2 linked regions of the Oryctolagus cuniculus genome follow. The protein of the gene in region 1 binds, or shares a complex with, the protein of each later gene. Links are inferred from orthologs where the notes say so. Each region holds a gene or a part of one and is shown in the gene's direction. Other genes may lie near its edges.

Region 1 (6,765 bases):
CTACAGGTAATTGCTGCTCGTGTCAAAATGCCGCAACATATGTGGAGTTAGGGGCGTGTTTCTCATCCGGTTAGAGATCAACTTAATGATCCTGGACAGGGGCCGCTTGCGGTGGTGCTGTTCCAGGATGGAAAGCGAAGGCTTTCTATTTTTTGTGTCCTTGAGAGAACTATTTTCTTGATAAACTGGCATCTGGGTGCCTCGTGTGGTGGCATGCAGCTGTTGGAAAACACGTGCTCACTCTTCGTGTCAAAGTTGTTAGCGTTGAGCTGAGAGAATGGCAGTTGGGGTTGGGTTGGAGGCTGCTGTACTTACAATCAATGACAGATGCACTGCTGTCTTGAAAGTAGACACGTTCTCAGAAATGCCCGTGGTAGTTCCTTTCAGACCCCAAAAGCTGCTGTTTCATTGATAAACGAAGCTTACTATGAGGGGCACAGCTACAGCCACCAGCGAGGATAGGCCTCAGATAAATCGGGCCTTTTATTTTTTCCCACTGAGTTGAGCAGTTTGCAAAGATCGAAGTTTCTTAAGCAGCACAGTTGTTGAGTAGAACCCACTTTGCCTGATGAAGTGTAGGAAGGCAGATGCGTAGCTCTTGCTGTCAGTGAGGACCAAACAGAGCACTGTGCTTTGGGAGAGAAGAGACTCATTTAAGTCCCTAGAGTGAAGTTCACCAAGAACTCCTGCCCTGCGTCTGTCAGAGTGACGACTTCCATTCCTGTGATCGGAACCCCCTTGGTTTTCACGGCTGCTCCCTCCCTGTCGCTGCTGCACTCTGAGCGTGGAGTGTGGCTTTGAACTCAGCCAGAAGCTCCAGCGCAGCCCCGCCCGTGCGTGGACGTGAGTTGCAGGACGCCTCCCTCTGGCTCCCTCTTGCCTTCAGAAGGCAGGCTGATTCATAGCAGAGACTCGGCATTGAGGTGATGGATTGCTCACACCTCTGATCTATTACCTTCCAGCTGCCATTCGTTGTGCATTATTCTGCATTTACATAAGTTCTTTGTCAAATGTGGGCAAAAAGAAAACGCTAGCGCTGGAATGGAGCAGAGGGAGGGGACATCTTTGTTTCATAGGATTATATGCGGTGGTCTAGCGGCCACGCGGCCACATTGTATAACAATTCAGTGTTTTTAAGGGCAGTTGCAGGTTGACCAAAACTCAGCGCAAAGTACAGAGCATTCTCATATGCTCCCTTCTCCGCCCCGCCCCTCCCAGGTTCTGTTATTAACGTTGTATGTTAGAGTGGTAGGTGGTTTGCTACAATGATGAACCAGCACTAGCTCCTTAACTAAAGCCCACAGTGTGCATCAGGCTCCAGTCTCTGGGATCTGACATGGCTGTGATGGCTGTAACGCCGCACCCACCGGCACGGTGCCATACCTGCCGGTTCACTGCCCTAAAAAAAAGCCCTGCGCTCCACCTGTGCACCCCTCCTCCCGCCCCACCACCTTCCACACTGAGGCAAAAGCCATTCATTTCTTGCACTTCTTCAAAAAGGAAAGTTGCCGCCCCCCCCCCCTTTTAACTTTTCTTTTACTGCGCAAGTACTGCTAAGAGCCAGTGGAAATTAAGAATGGAGGACTGGGCTCTCTTTCCAAAGTACAGCGTTCTTGTTTGGTTCTGTTGTTTCCGGTCATTGCAAATATATCCTCCACCCACAGTCGTAAACAGAAGTGTGGCTTCCGTGCCAGGTCCTGCTCGTTCCACTCATCATTATGTAAGCAGGGAGGGGGCAGTGTGGCGGCTTGGACACTTGCGTGGAGACTGTCCTGGGAGACAGAATTGATCCTGCAGGACATGAGAAAGTAACGTGGCATCTAAGCACGGAAGCATTCGGATTCCAGGTAGATTGGTTTTTCCCTCGTGAAACCAAGGACTCCAGCTTCAGGCCCCATCTCCTCTCTCGGCCCAGGTTTATGCCAGAACCCAACCTGCCTCCCCTGCTGCTCTACGACTCCACGTCTCTGCCTGCAGGCGCCGACCCCCAGCAAGTGATCGATATCGACCGGATCCGGGAGACGCTCCCCGAGCTCCCGAGCGAGACGCGGGCGCGGCTGGTTCAGCAGTACGGGATGCTGCCTGAGCACAGCTTCACTCTGCTGGTACGCACTGATGGGCTCCAACAAACCCGGCTCGGCAGACAGCGGGCCGCCGTGGCCTGGAGTGGAGTGGGCAGGGCGCCGCGGCTCTACTCCAGGTGCCTCTGGGAAGAATGGGCGTTGGAACCCTTGCTCCCTACCCCCTATGCCGGGTGTGCTCCTGGTAAAACCAGAAGAGGAAGCAGAATCTGGCATTCATGATTTCTTGGGCGTGGAAATGAACAGCCGCTCACAGCAGCTGCACAGACGCTGTGAGGCAAGGATCCCCACAGAACCTCAGTGTTGGACCACAGCAGGGGCGGGCGGGAGGCGGGGGTCTCAAAACCTGCCAGTGGTTTTGCCGCCCGTGGGAGGAAACTTTTATTCCGCACCAAGTGCTGAGAACCCTGACTGGGAGCCTCTGCCCTTGGAGGCTGGCCGAAGCGTCTGAAGGAGCTGGTAGACAACCAGACAGCGTTCAGCGCTGCTTGGGGAGTTTCCATCCGCTTCAGAGCTGCTTGGGGCTTTGCGGTTTTCTTTGTCAGGCAGCGTGGAGTGCTGCGGCGTCAGCGAGGGAAGCGTTTTGTCACAGTTGTCTTCTCCTGTCTGAGAGGGAGGAAGCGGAAAGTGCTGCTCTTCTGCCTCTCGGGGCTGCCGCACTTGCCTTCTGCAGCCGCAGGCTCTGTGGGAGCTTTTTAAATGGCCAGTAATACCTCTGTAGGAGCGCGGGAATCCAACACGAGGGGACTGCAGAAGCTTCACGGAAAATGGAATTAAGAGATGTTTATTTTGGTGCAAAAAAAAAAAAAATTGGAAATCCCTGCATAGCTTTTTCATAATACACAGTTCCCAGGAACTTTTTGAAGTCCCTGTTGTATGCATGGACTTTAAAATATTTTTTGTACCAAAATAAGCTTAACACCATTTTCCGTGGACTTTTTAACATACCCTTGTATTTTTATTTATATGCTTTAACAACGGCAGCCTAGCAGTTTCTGGTACAGAATAGGCAACCAAATGTGTATTGAATGACAGATTTTTTTAACCATTTTTGAGCTTTTTAAAAAAATTTTGATTACCCTGTAGCACTTGTCCATTTTTATGGAGTACAGAGCATTATTTCAACTTGTGCATCATAGCTGATCAAACCAGGCAACTGGGCTTTCCGCCTCCTTATCTTGCCTTTGTGTTTGGAGCCTGCCAGGTGCTCTCTTCCAGTTCTTCCCACAGAACACCAGACAGCCTTGCGCGCTGTGGGTGCCCCTGTCCCCCGCTGTGGAGCACTTGAACTTGTTACTTCTGTCTCACTGAGTTGGCACCCACTGTCCAACCTCCTCCCAGCTCTCTCCCCTACCCTGCTGCGTCCCTGGTCATCACTCTTCTAGTTCAGATGGGCTTTTTTTTTTAAGCTCCACCTCTGGAGAGGACATGCCGTACCCGTGTATCTGTGTCTTGCTTATTTCATGTTACATGATGTCCCATTGCATTCGCTTTGCTGCGGGAGTGATTACTCGTCATCCTCCATAGGCAGCTGCTCGGAGAAGTGCGTATCCAGAGAGCTCACGTGAGAACTCCGCTTTCCAGTGATGGTTAGGTGTGGCCAGGTGCTGGTGCCAGGTGCGGGCTGCTGCTGCACCTTCTCCACACCTCTGTGGCCGCAGCATCCGCGGTGCAGTCATTATCTGTCAGTGAATATCGTTGAACATCGCGAGGGCAAGGGCTGTGGCATCCTCTGTGTTCCATTCTCCCTGACGAGCACGGCAGCAGTGCTGACAGCCACGTCTTGGCTCTGCGAGTCAGTCCAGGGCACTTCTGAGCCTGAAGCTTCCTTCCAGTGAGCTGTTTTCCCCAGGCTGATATCCCAGACTGAACTGTGGTCGTACACATCTCCTCCCCACCCCACCCCCACCCCAGCCCCTGTCAAGACTGCTTGGATATCCGGCCCACTTGAGCTGATTACCAAGCCTGCAGGCAGATTATACAGGTGATGGATCCGGCTGCTCAGCCTCAAAAACCTCAGGTACCCTCTCGGTGGCATGTGGCCACCTGGACAAAGGCCAGCCCTTCGGGTGGTGTGTGATGAACAGAGTTTCTTGACTGTTTCTTTACTCCAGTCTGATTTTAGAGAAGTCACTGAATGTAACATTAAAGGTTCGCTTCACGTATCGGCCTTATCCGTAAGAGAAGTCAGAGAAGGCCAGTGCCGCGGCTCACTAGACTAATCCTCCGCCTAGCGGCGCCGGCACACCGGGTTCTAGTCCCGGTCGGGGCGCCGGATTCTGTCCCGGTTGCCCCTCTTCCAGGCCAGCTCTCTGCTATGGCCAGGGAGTGCAGTGGAGGATGGCCCAGGTGCTTGGGCCCTGCACCCCATGGGAGACCAGGAAAAGCACCTGGCTCCTGGCTCCTGCCATCGGATCAGCGTGGTGCGCTGGCTGCAGCGCGCCGGCCGCAATGGCCATTGGAGGGTGAACCAACGGCAAAGGAAGACCTTTCTCTCTGTCCCTCTCTCTCACTGTCCACTCTGCCTGTCAAAAATTTAAAAAAAAAAAAAAAAAAAGAGAAGTCAGAGAACCCTCAGACTCACCTCTTGGCACAGCCGTTTCTGCTCCAGGCTGCAGAGGGCAGCTGTGCGGGGTTGTTGCATTCCGCCTTGACGTGTGAGGGCGGACATGTTTACATTTGTGTTTGTGTCCGTCCTCATTCCTGGCTCCTTCACGGTGCCACACCGAGGTAGACCCTGTGTTAGCATTTGGTAGGGGTGGCGAACGAGTAAGTGTGTGATTTCTCAGTTAAAGGCCCTGTTCAGGGAAACCCACTTTCGTTAGCATCTTTAGTAGCAGGTAGAGACAAGAACAAAGATACTTTAAAAGGTGTGTTTTTTTTTTTTTTTTTTTTTTTTTTGGTCTTTCAAGAGTTTATGTGTAGCTCCTTCAAAAAGTTCATGGAGAAATGAAGTTAGAAGTTCTTTTGGTACAAAATAATTTTGAAATCTATGTATAGTGTTTTCATACTATGCATTTTCCCATGAGCTTTTTAAAGACCGCTTGTATGTGGAGAGGCCCCTACAGGTAACCAAGCCCCCGGCAGGTCATTCTAGAGATGCGTAGTGTACGATGGGAACCCAGAGCAGGTTGTAAGTAACTCGGTTGGGACAAAAAGGGGAAGCTTCAAGAAGGAAGCTGTTTCTTAGCTGTTTTTTTAAAGGACTTATCTTTTGATACCTCATAAACCTTATTTTTATCACTTGCAGATAATGTATTAGCTCATTAGTGCTTTGTTTTTCAAAGGGGCTAGTACTTGACATGTCCAGGATAAGAATAAGACAAGAGAGGACTGGCAAGAGAATGACTCAGACAAATTATTTTCCTGAAATGAGGCAGCCTGAGCCCTTTATGACTTTGTAATCATTGGAAGCTGAGTTACTCATAACACAACCAAAAATGATATGGTCGTGGTTTTTTCCTGCCTTCATCAGAAACACAACAGATTGCTGAGAAGGGCAGATGCACAAATCTAATGAACCATCTTTCAATTTAAAGAGTGCCCAGGAGTATTCATTAAATAAATAGCAGTGGTGGAGGTGTGCTTCACAGAGCTTCAGCTCCATGCTGCAAGCCTTAGGAAAGCTTATTAAATTAAGCATCATGCACATGCCCCCCCCCCCCACACACACACCTAACACACACATACTGAGAAGCTTCAGAATTTAACCCTAGTCTGGAATTTATCTTGGCATTTTATTGTTCAGTAGCCACTGGATTATGTATGTTTTAAATTTTTATTTATTTTTGTTTTTATTTGAAACAGAGACCGAGATGGATGGAGAGCGAGCTTCTATCCACTGGTTCACTCCCCAAATGGCTGCAACATACAGGGCTAGGGCAGGTTAAAGCCAGGATCCAGAACTCAGTCTGGGTCTCCCATCTTGGCAGCAGGGAGTCAAGCAGTTGAGCTGTCAGCTGCCGTCTCTCGGGGGCACAGTAGTAAGGAGCTGGATCAGAAGAGGAGCTGCGCTCCACTGGGGCTCAGGATCCCCGCATCCTGAGCAGCAGTGCTACTGCTGTACCACTTGCCCACCCTGAGCTATGTTTTTTTTGTTTGTTTTTTTTGTTTGTTTGTTTGTTTTTTTGACAGGCAGAGTGGACAGTGAGAGAGACAGAGAGAAAGATCTTCCTTTGCTGTTGGTCACTCCACAATGGCCGATGCGGCCAGTGTACTGTGCTGATCCGAAGCCAGGAGCCAGGTGCTTCTCCTGGTCTCCCATGGGGTGCAGGGCCCAAGGACTTGGGCCATCCTCCACTGCCTTCCCAGGCCAGAGCAGAGAGCTGGCCTGGAAGAGGGGCAACCGGGAAAGAATCCAGCACCCCAACTGGGACTAGAACCCGGGGTGCCGGCACCACAGGCGGAGGATTAGCCTGTTGAGCCGCGGCGCCGGCCAAGCTATGTGTTTTTAACATGACCATTGATATTGATAGCACTGCACACTCCAGGGTCTACTGTAATAGCTGGCATGCAGTAGATATTCAGCAGCTGGATGAGGGCATAAACGGGACACCATTTAGTGCCCATGAAAATCCTGGTAGAGCTCATGTCCCTGAGAAAAGCATCCCTGTTTCCAGAGGCCAGATACATAAACCGCTCTTTGACAACTCAGCAGATCGTAAGATAGTACCTGTTTTGTTGA
Region 2 (7,534 bases), on another chromosome or scaffold:
CAAACTTTGTAAACAAGATGTGATGGTACAAAAGTATAATCAAGGGCTGGTGCTGTGGCATAGCAGGTAAAGCCACTGCCTGCAGTGCTGGCATCCCAAATAAGTGCCGGTTCGAGTCCTGGCTGCTCCACTTCTGATCCAGCTCCCTGCTAATGTGCCTGGCAAAGCAGTGGAGGATGGCCCAGATCCCTGGGACCCTGCACCCACGTGGGAGACCTGGAAGAAGCTCCTGGCTCTATCAGCTCAGCTCCAGCCACTGCAGCTGTGGGAAGTGAACCAGTGGATGGAAGACTCTCTCTGTCTCTACCTCTCTGTGTAACTGTCTTTTCAAATAAATAAAATAAATCTTAAAGTAAAATCAAACTATGCTATACAGACTCAGCCATGGGGTGGGCATTTTGCCTGGCAGCTAAGATGCCCGAGTCCCCACATCCCACACTGGGTACCTGGGTTTGATTCTCATCTCCAATTTCTAGATTCTGACTCCAGCTTCCTGCTAACGTAGATCTCAGGAGGCAACAACGATGGCTCAGGTAATTGGGCGCCTGCCACCCGGAGAAGAGAATGAGTTACCACTTCCTGGCTTTGGCTAGGTTGCAGACATTTAGGGAGTCAGCAAACAGATGGAGTGCCTCTCTCTGCCAAATAAACAGGATTCACAACCATGCTGCAGGTCATTTATTTATTTATTTATTTGAATAGCATGTGACACACAGAGATAGATCTTCCATTTGCTGGTTCCCAAATGCCTGTAACAGCTGGGGCTGGCCCAGGCTGAAGCCACGAACCAGGAGCTCCATCCAGCTCTCCCAGGTGGGTAGCAGGGACCCCAGTAACTGGCCCATCATTTGCTGCATTCCCAGCTGCATAAGCAGGACGCTGGATCTGAAGTGGGTAGCCCAGACTCAGCCAGCACTTCACCATGGGATGAAGGTGCCCCAAGCGGTGGCTTAACCTGCTGCACCACAACACCTGCCCCAAACCACACATTTATATTATTGTTTATCCAGATCACTTTTAAACAGACAGAAGTTCTATTATGAAGCAACCAAGTGTAAAACCAGAGAAATTAAAAGAGGAGTTGTGAGAAGCCATTAAAATTCAAAAATGAAACCTGAATGACAAGTCTCCCCCTTTTCTTTGTGACAGACATGGGTACAAACATGGGTGCCAGGACTTCTTGGCTGTGACCTTGAGCCGACCTCACTTTCCTCGTCAGTAACGGGTAAAGACAGCAACCATCTCACAGTCAGTGTGAAGCTGACTTCGGTTACCCTCTTGGGAAGGCCTGGCTCAGTGCTACTGTAACTCAGAGCAGTTCCACATCCACTGAGCCTGCATGAAAATTTCATAGCCGCAGCTAAGGACTGCTTGAGACAGACATAGGCCAAGAAAAGGATTTTACGCCGGCGCCGCGGCTCACTAGGCTAATCCTCCGCCTTGCGGCGCCAGCACCCCGGGGTTCTAGTCCCGGTTGGAGCGCTGGATTCTGTCCCGGTTGCTCCTCTTCCAGGCCAGCTCTCTGCTGTGGCCCGGGAGTGCAGTGGAGGATGGCCCAGGTGCTTGGGCCCTGCACCCGCATGGGAGAAGCACCTGGCTCCTGCCATCGGATCAGCGCGGTGCGCCGGGTATGCAGCGGCCACTTGGGGGGTGAACCAACGGAAAAAGGCAGACCTTTCTCTCTGTCTCTCTCTCACTAACTTTGCCTGTCCAAAATAAACAACGGAAAAAGGCAGACCTTTCTCTCTGTCTCTCTCTCACTAACTTTGCCTGTCCAAAATAAATAAATAAAAAGAAAGAAAGAAAGAAAGAAAGAAAGAAAGAAAGAAAGAAAGAAAGAAAGAAAGATTGATTTTAACAACAAAACGATGGGATCTTCCATAGTGCCTAAAAGCTGGAGAAAGACTAACCCTCTGAGCTGTCAGCCGCTCTCAGTATTGGTTGAGGGTCAGGTTTTGGCTAAGCGGCTAAGCTGCTAAGACGACCGCGTCCCATTATCTGGGTGCCCGGGTTCGTTTTGCTCCAATGCAGACCCTAGAGGCAGCGGTGATGGTTCAAGTAATTGGGTTCCTGTGTCCCAGCCGGGAGACCTGCACTGAGTTCCCAGCTCCAGCCCAACCCGTTAATTCTGAGTGTCGTTTGCCATGGACAAATTACGAACAACTCTGCCCACTGTGTAAGTTTGGAATAAGCACCAAACGAGCCAAAGGATGTCACTGTGCTCTATAAAAAGCAAAACACTGCGAAAATATGTACTTGGCCTTTCAGCGAGGCACCCAGGCGGCTTCGGTGCTGATGGGCGGGGAGAGGGCTCCTGCCGCTGCCCTCACTACGGCCCTCATCCCCGCTCTCGGTTCCAGCCACGGCAAGACGTAAGCAATGTGGCGGAGCCCACGGCAGAGAGCACGGGACGTGGGTCGGCGGCTCACCTGAACGCACTGCTGGTAACGCTTGAAGAGGTCGGTGCACGGGTCCCCAGAGCCGTCCCCCTTGAGGAACTTCTCAGCAAACCAGCGATTGAAGCACTGGTCGTACTCGCGCTTCATGTCTGTACACGCCTCCCCAACGCTGTTCATGGCGATGGCTGCGAAGGAGGCGGCAGGGGCGCACCCTGATGGCGTCACATTTAAGCGCGTCGCTCGGCCTTACGGGTGGCGCACTACGGGTGCCGGGAAGGGGAGACATGTGGGCGCGGGCAGTACGGCTGGGCCTTCGGGCTCCCCTGGGTGGGTTCCGGGCTTTCACCGCCAAGGCGGATGCTCAGGTAAAGGCCCGGGACGTCTAGGCGGGTGGCGGAGCGGGCCGCGTCCGTGTGACCCACCCTCCCCGATTCATTCCCCAGGGAAGTGGCCGGGTGACGGCCGAGGTGATCGAGCACCTGGAGCGTCTAGCGCTCGTGGACTTCGGCAGTCAGGAGGCCGTAGCGCGGCTGGAGAAAGCCATCGCCTTCGCCGACCGGCTGCGCGAGGTGGACACGGACGGCGTGGAGCCCATGGAGTCGGTCCTGGAGGACAGGTAAGCTCGCGGCTGCGGCCCCCCGGCCTGGACGGAGGCACCTCCGCAGGCCGCTGCAGGTGGCGGCTGGAGCCCCCGTTTCACAGCGACATGTGTTCATTATGCATGCTGTCACTCCCGCTTACAATCCCCGCGCCCGCCCAACGTAAGCGGGAGCAAAATCCGAACGGCCGCTCCTCGCCGTGGAGGCACCTCCCCCTGGGGTCTCACACACTGTGCTGCCACTAGGCTGGCTTCCCCGACTGCTTCCGCGACCGGCCGGGTCGGCTCTCATTTGTGCATTCTGCCTTCCGGAGTTTGCACGGCTGGCTCCTCCTTCCTTGGCTCTTTGACCTCGGCTTATCTCCTCAGAGTGGCCCCCTGGCACTCCGAATCCCCTCTCCCCTTCCAGTCACCAACTCTGTCTCGTTGGGGGTTTCCTGCGTTGATTTGTTGTCGTTATTATTACAGTGTGAGTTCACTGAGCTGCTTGCTGTCTCGAGATTTTATGCATTTTCTGATGTACTGATTCCCTAAGGAAGTATCTGTGAAAGTGCAGCAAGACGCAGGCACAAGCCCATGGCAAACCTTTCAGAACACGAAAAACAGGACCCAGAAACAACCTAAACAAATGGCAAATACACACTTCCACAATGGAATATTCAGCAGTTTAAAAATAACGAAACAACTACATGTTATTTGTGTGTATCGCGTATCAGCCTACAAATAGCATCATATACGCTGCCATGGAGAAGTCTCTGAGACATGCCTATTTTTTCTTTAAAGGCAGCATTAGAGCAGTACTCTTTGGGGCCCTTGTGGTGGTGCAGCAGGTGAAGCCGCTGCTTGTGACACTTCCAGTCCCAGCTGCCTGCTAGCGTGCATGGGAAGGCAGCAGAAGGTGGCCCAAGTACTTGAGCCCCTGCCACCCACGTAGGAGACCCAGACGGGAGTTCCAGGCTCCTGGCTGCAGCCTGGCCCAGCCCTGGCTGTTGTGGCTGTTTGAGGAGTGGACCAGAGGATGGAAGCTCTCTCTCCCTGTCTCTTTGAAATAAGTAATATCTGTCTTTGAAATAGATAATAAATCCTTTTAAAAACCCAGTACACATTGCTTCTTGGCCTTTTGGCTAAGATCAAGTGTAAAAATCAGCACTGTTCATACCATATGTGTAGTCTACATCTGCTGGTGTATAATTAAGTTGTGTTCCCCAGAAGCAAATGCAAGAAATTCACAAAATGATTAATTCATGGGAATGTTAAGGAAACTTTGTTTTTGTTGAAGATATATTTATTTACTTGAAAGAGTTACAGAGAAGCAGAGGCAGAGAGAGAGGGAGGGAGAGAGGGAGGGTTCACTCACTGCCTGGTTCACTCACTCCCTGGTTCACTCCCCAGATGGCTGCAATGGCCGGAGCTGGGCTGATCCGAAGCCAGGAGCAGGAGCCTCTTCCGGGTGCAGGGGCTCAAGCACTTGGGCTGTCTTCTACTGCTTTCCCAGGCACAATAGCAGGGAGTTGGATCGGAAGTGCAGCAGCCAGGACTCCCATATGGGATGCCAGCATTGCAGGCGGTGGCTTTACCTGCTACACCACAGCGCCGGCCCCCACACATAATGTGCCTGAGAGCAGCGGTATCAGTGAGTGAAGTAGCGCAGTGTCATGCAGTGGGGACAGGTGACTTGCTGACAAAGCAGCTGTGAACAGCAGGAGCGGTTTCCGCCCACCTCTACCAACTGCTGCCAGATCTTAATTTGAAAGGAAGCGCCTTCCTGGGGAAAGCTGCTTCCCAGCAGCACACTTGATTTGCTGTCGGGGGCTACAGCTGCTTGGACAGGAGGATGGGTGACTTGCTGTGCTCCCTCCCCCAGAGTCAGGCCGGATGTTAGTCCCCAAACACTTAACAGAACTGAGCAGAAACTTAACTCAATCATGGTGCTGGGTGGCGGGGCCCTGGGTGATTAAGTTAGATCATTAGGATGGAGCCCTGACTGGAGTCCTGGTGGCCTTGTAAAGGGTCAGACAAATCAGATCAACACAGACATAGCTGCTGAACTGGGGACCCACCTGATCCTGGACTGTGAACCTCAGGCCCATAAACCAAAATAAACTTTGTCTATAAAGCAGCCTGTCTCTGGTAATTTGTTATAAAGTCAACTACTACATAGCTCATAATCATAGGGACAGTTGACAACTATCCTAGCCTTTTCTTGGTAGAAATAATAGACAAAAGCAGTCCTAACTGCAAGTGGACGCAAGGAAGATTCGCTGCCTTTGGCTAGTGAACAGGCCCAGCCAGACGATCTGCGACTACATTCTTTGTGTGAGTCTTGCTCCTAACTGCCACGCTTTCTTCCAACCTTTCTTCTTCCTTGCAATCTGGCACTCGGGTCAGGGCAGTGAATCTGCTATTACACTGCACTTCAAAATGGAATCTGATTTTCATTCTGTGGCCTGCGTCCTGGAGGTTTCACACTGCTCCTTAGGGTGAAGACAGCATCAGTGGAGCCTGCAGGGAGTCATCAAACCTAGCCTTTCAGTTCTTCATGCGCTCTCCTTCCTAGAATTCCGGCCTGGCCTTCACTCCCACCACTCCTCTTTTTGTCTACTTCAAATTTCAAATGCCACCTCCTTAAGAAGTCTTTTTTTTTTTTTCTCAAGATTTGAACAGAGAGAGATCTTCCATCTGCTGATTCACTTCTCAAATATGGCCACAACGGCCAGGGCTGGGCCAGGTGGAAGCCAGGAGCTCCATCCTAGTCTCCCACGTGGACAGCAAGGGCCCAAGCACTTGGTTCATTTCCTGCTGCCTTCACAAGTACATTAGCAGTTAACTAGATGGGAAGGGCAGCAACCAGGACTCTACTGGGGCTCCTGATATGGGATGCCAGCATCGCAGGTGGCTTAACCTGGTGTACCACATTGCTGGCCCCTTCATTGTACTGAATTAGGTTCTTTCAGGACATGTGACTCTTCATGGTATTCAGTAAGTACAATACACCTATTCACACATCTATTTGAGTGACACCTGATTTCTCTGCTCCTCTCCTGTTCATCTGTGTTCTTGGGAGCATGTCTATTTCTGCTCATGTTTGCAATGTGTAACACCAAATAGATACTCAGTAAACATTTACTGAAAGACTGTTCTTTATTAGTATCTTTGGGAAAGGAAGGAACAGAAGCCTGAAGAGGAGTCAGAATCTTCCATCACCTAGAGGGTAACTATAAAGAATAAAATCAGGGGCCAGTGTTGTGCTTAGTGGGTTAAGCTGCCACCTGCAACATCAGCATCTCAGGTGGGTGCTGGTTCGAGTCCTAGCTGCTGCACTGCCAATCCAGCTCCTGCTAATGTGCTTGGGAGGGCAGTGGAAGATGGCCCAAGTCCTTGGGTCCCTGCACCCAGGTGGGAAACCCAGATGAAGCTCCTAGCTTCGGCTTGGCCCATACCTGAGTTTGCAGCCATTTGGGGAGTCAACCAGCAGATGGAAGACATCTCTAACTGTGCCTTTCAAATGAGTAAATTTTTAAAAATTACAGAGGGAGGGGCTGACACTGATGTAGCAGGTAAAGCCACCACCTGGAGCGCCAGCATCCTGTATGGGCACCAGTTTGAGTCTTGGCTGTTCTACTTCTGATCTAGCTCTCTGCTGTGGCCTGGGAAAGCAGTAGAAGATGGCCCAAGTGCTTAGGCCCTTGCACTCGCATGGGAGACCCAGAAACAGTTCCTGGCTCCCAAAAGACCGACCCAGTTGCAGCCATTTAGGGAGTGAACCAGTGGATAGAAGTCTCTCTCTCTCTCTCTCTGCCTCTCTGTAACTCTGCCTTTTAAATAAATGAATAATTAAAAAAAAAATACAAAGGGAATTTTGTGAAAAAGATGAGGGATCTGGATCTACTAGCTGGGATCTCAACTTGGCATTCAGTGATTTGCACCTTCTGTATATTAGAAAACCAGTTTGTGTTAGTAATTCACATTCAGTTTTTCTTTTTTTAATGCGAATTTATTTTCATCTATTTGAAAGGCAGAGATAGAGATCAATTGACCTTGCATCTGCTGGTTCACTCCCCAAATGTCCTAAAGCGCCATAGTCAAGAGCCCCGAACTCCATCCAGGTCTCCCATGTGGGTGACAGGAACCCAAGCACTTGGGCCATCATTTGCTGACTCTTGGGATGTATTAATAGTAAGCTAACGGAGCTGGCTGGTTAGCTCAGTTGGTTAGAGTGTGGTGCTAATAGTAAGCTAGATTAGTGGCATGTAGGCATTCAAAGTGGCAGGGTTTTTAAAGATTTATTTGAAAGCAGAGCAAGAGAGGGATAGAAATATCTTCTATCCACTGGTTCTCCCTAAGTGGCCACAATAGTCAGTTCTGTGCCAGGCCTAAACCAGGAACTAGGAATTCCATCCTGGTTGATCCCCCATGTGGGTGGCAGGAGCCCAAACTGGGCCATCATCTGCTGCTTTCCCAGGCACATTAGCAGAAAGCTGGATTGGAAGCAGAGCAGCCAGAACTTTGCAATATGGGACATTAGTGTTGCACAGCC

The links. The genes of interacting proteins can lie anywhere in the genome.
Region 2: GATB (region 1) and GATC share a complex: the UniProt entries of both Homo sapiens proteins name them as parts of the heterotrimeric GatCAB amidotransferase (AdT) complex. The link is inferred for Oryctolagus cuniculus from reciprocal best matches to the Homo sapiens genes GATB and GATC.

Annotation. Positions count from the first base shown.
Region 1 is NC_091439.1:12,867,690-12,874,454, forward strand, and holds part of GATB (glutamyl-tRNA(Gln) amidotransferase subunit B, mitochondrial), read left to right. Parts: coding exon 1-6; intron 7-1,915; coding exon 1,916-2,105; intron 2,106-6,765. UniProt on the Homo sapiens protein: Allows the formation of correctly charged Gln-tRNA(Gln) through the transamidation of misacylated Glu-tRNA(Gln) in the mitochondria. The reaction takes place in the presence of glutamine and ATP through an activated gamma-phospho-Glu-tRNA(Gln).
Region 2 is NC_091452.1:16,476,456-16,483,989, forward strand, and holds the start of GATC (glutamyl-tRNA(Gln) amidotransferase subunit C, mitochondrial), read left to right. Parts: upstream 1-2,644; 5' UTR 2,645-2,683; coding exon 2,684-2,764; intron 2,765-2,842; coding exon 2,843-3,015; intron 3,016-7,534. Other genes in the region: TRIAP1 (TP53-regulated inhibitor of apoptosis 1), read right to left, coding at 2,430-2,576. UniProt on the Homo sapiens protein: Allows the formation of correctly charged Gln-tRNA(Gln) through the transamidation of misacylated Glu-tRNA(Gln) in the mitochondria. The reaction takes place in the presence of glutamine and ATP through an activated gamma-phospho-Glu-tRNA(Gln).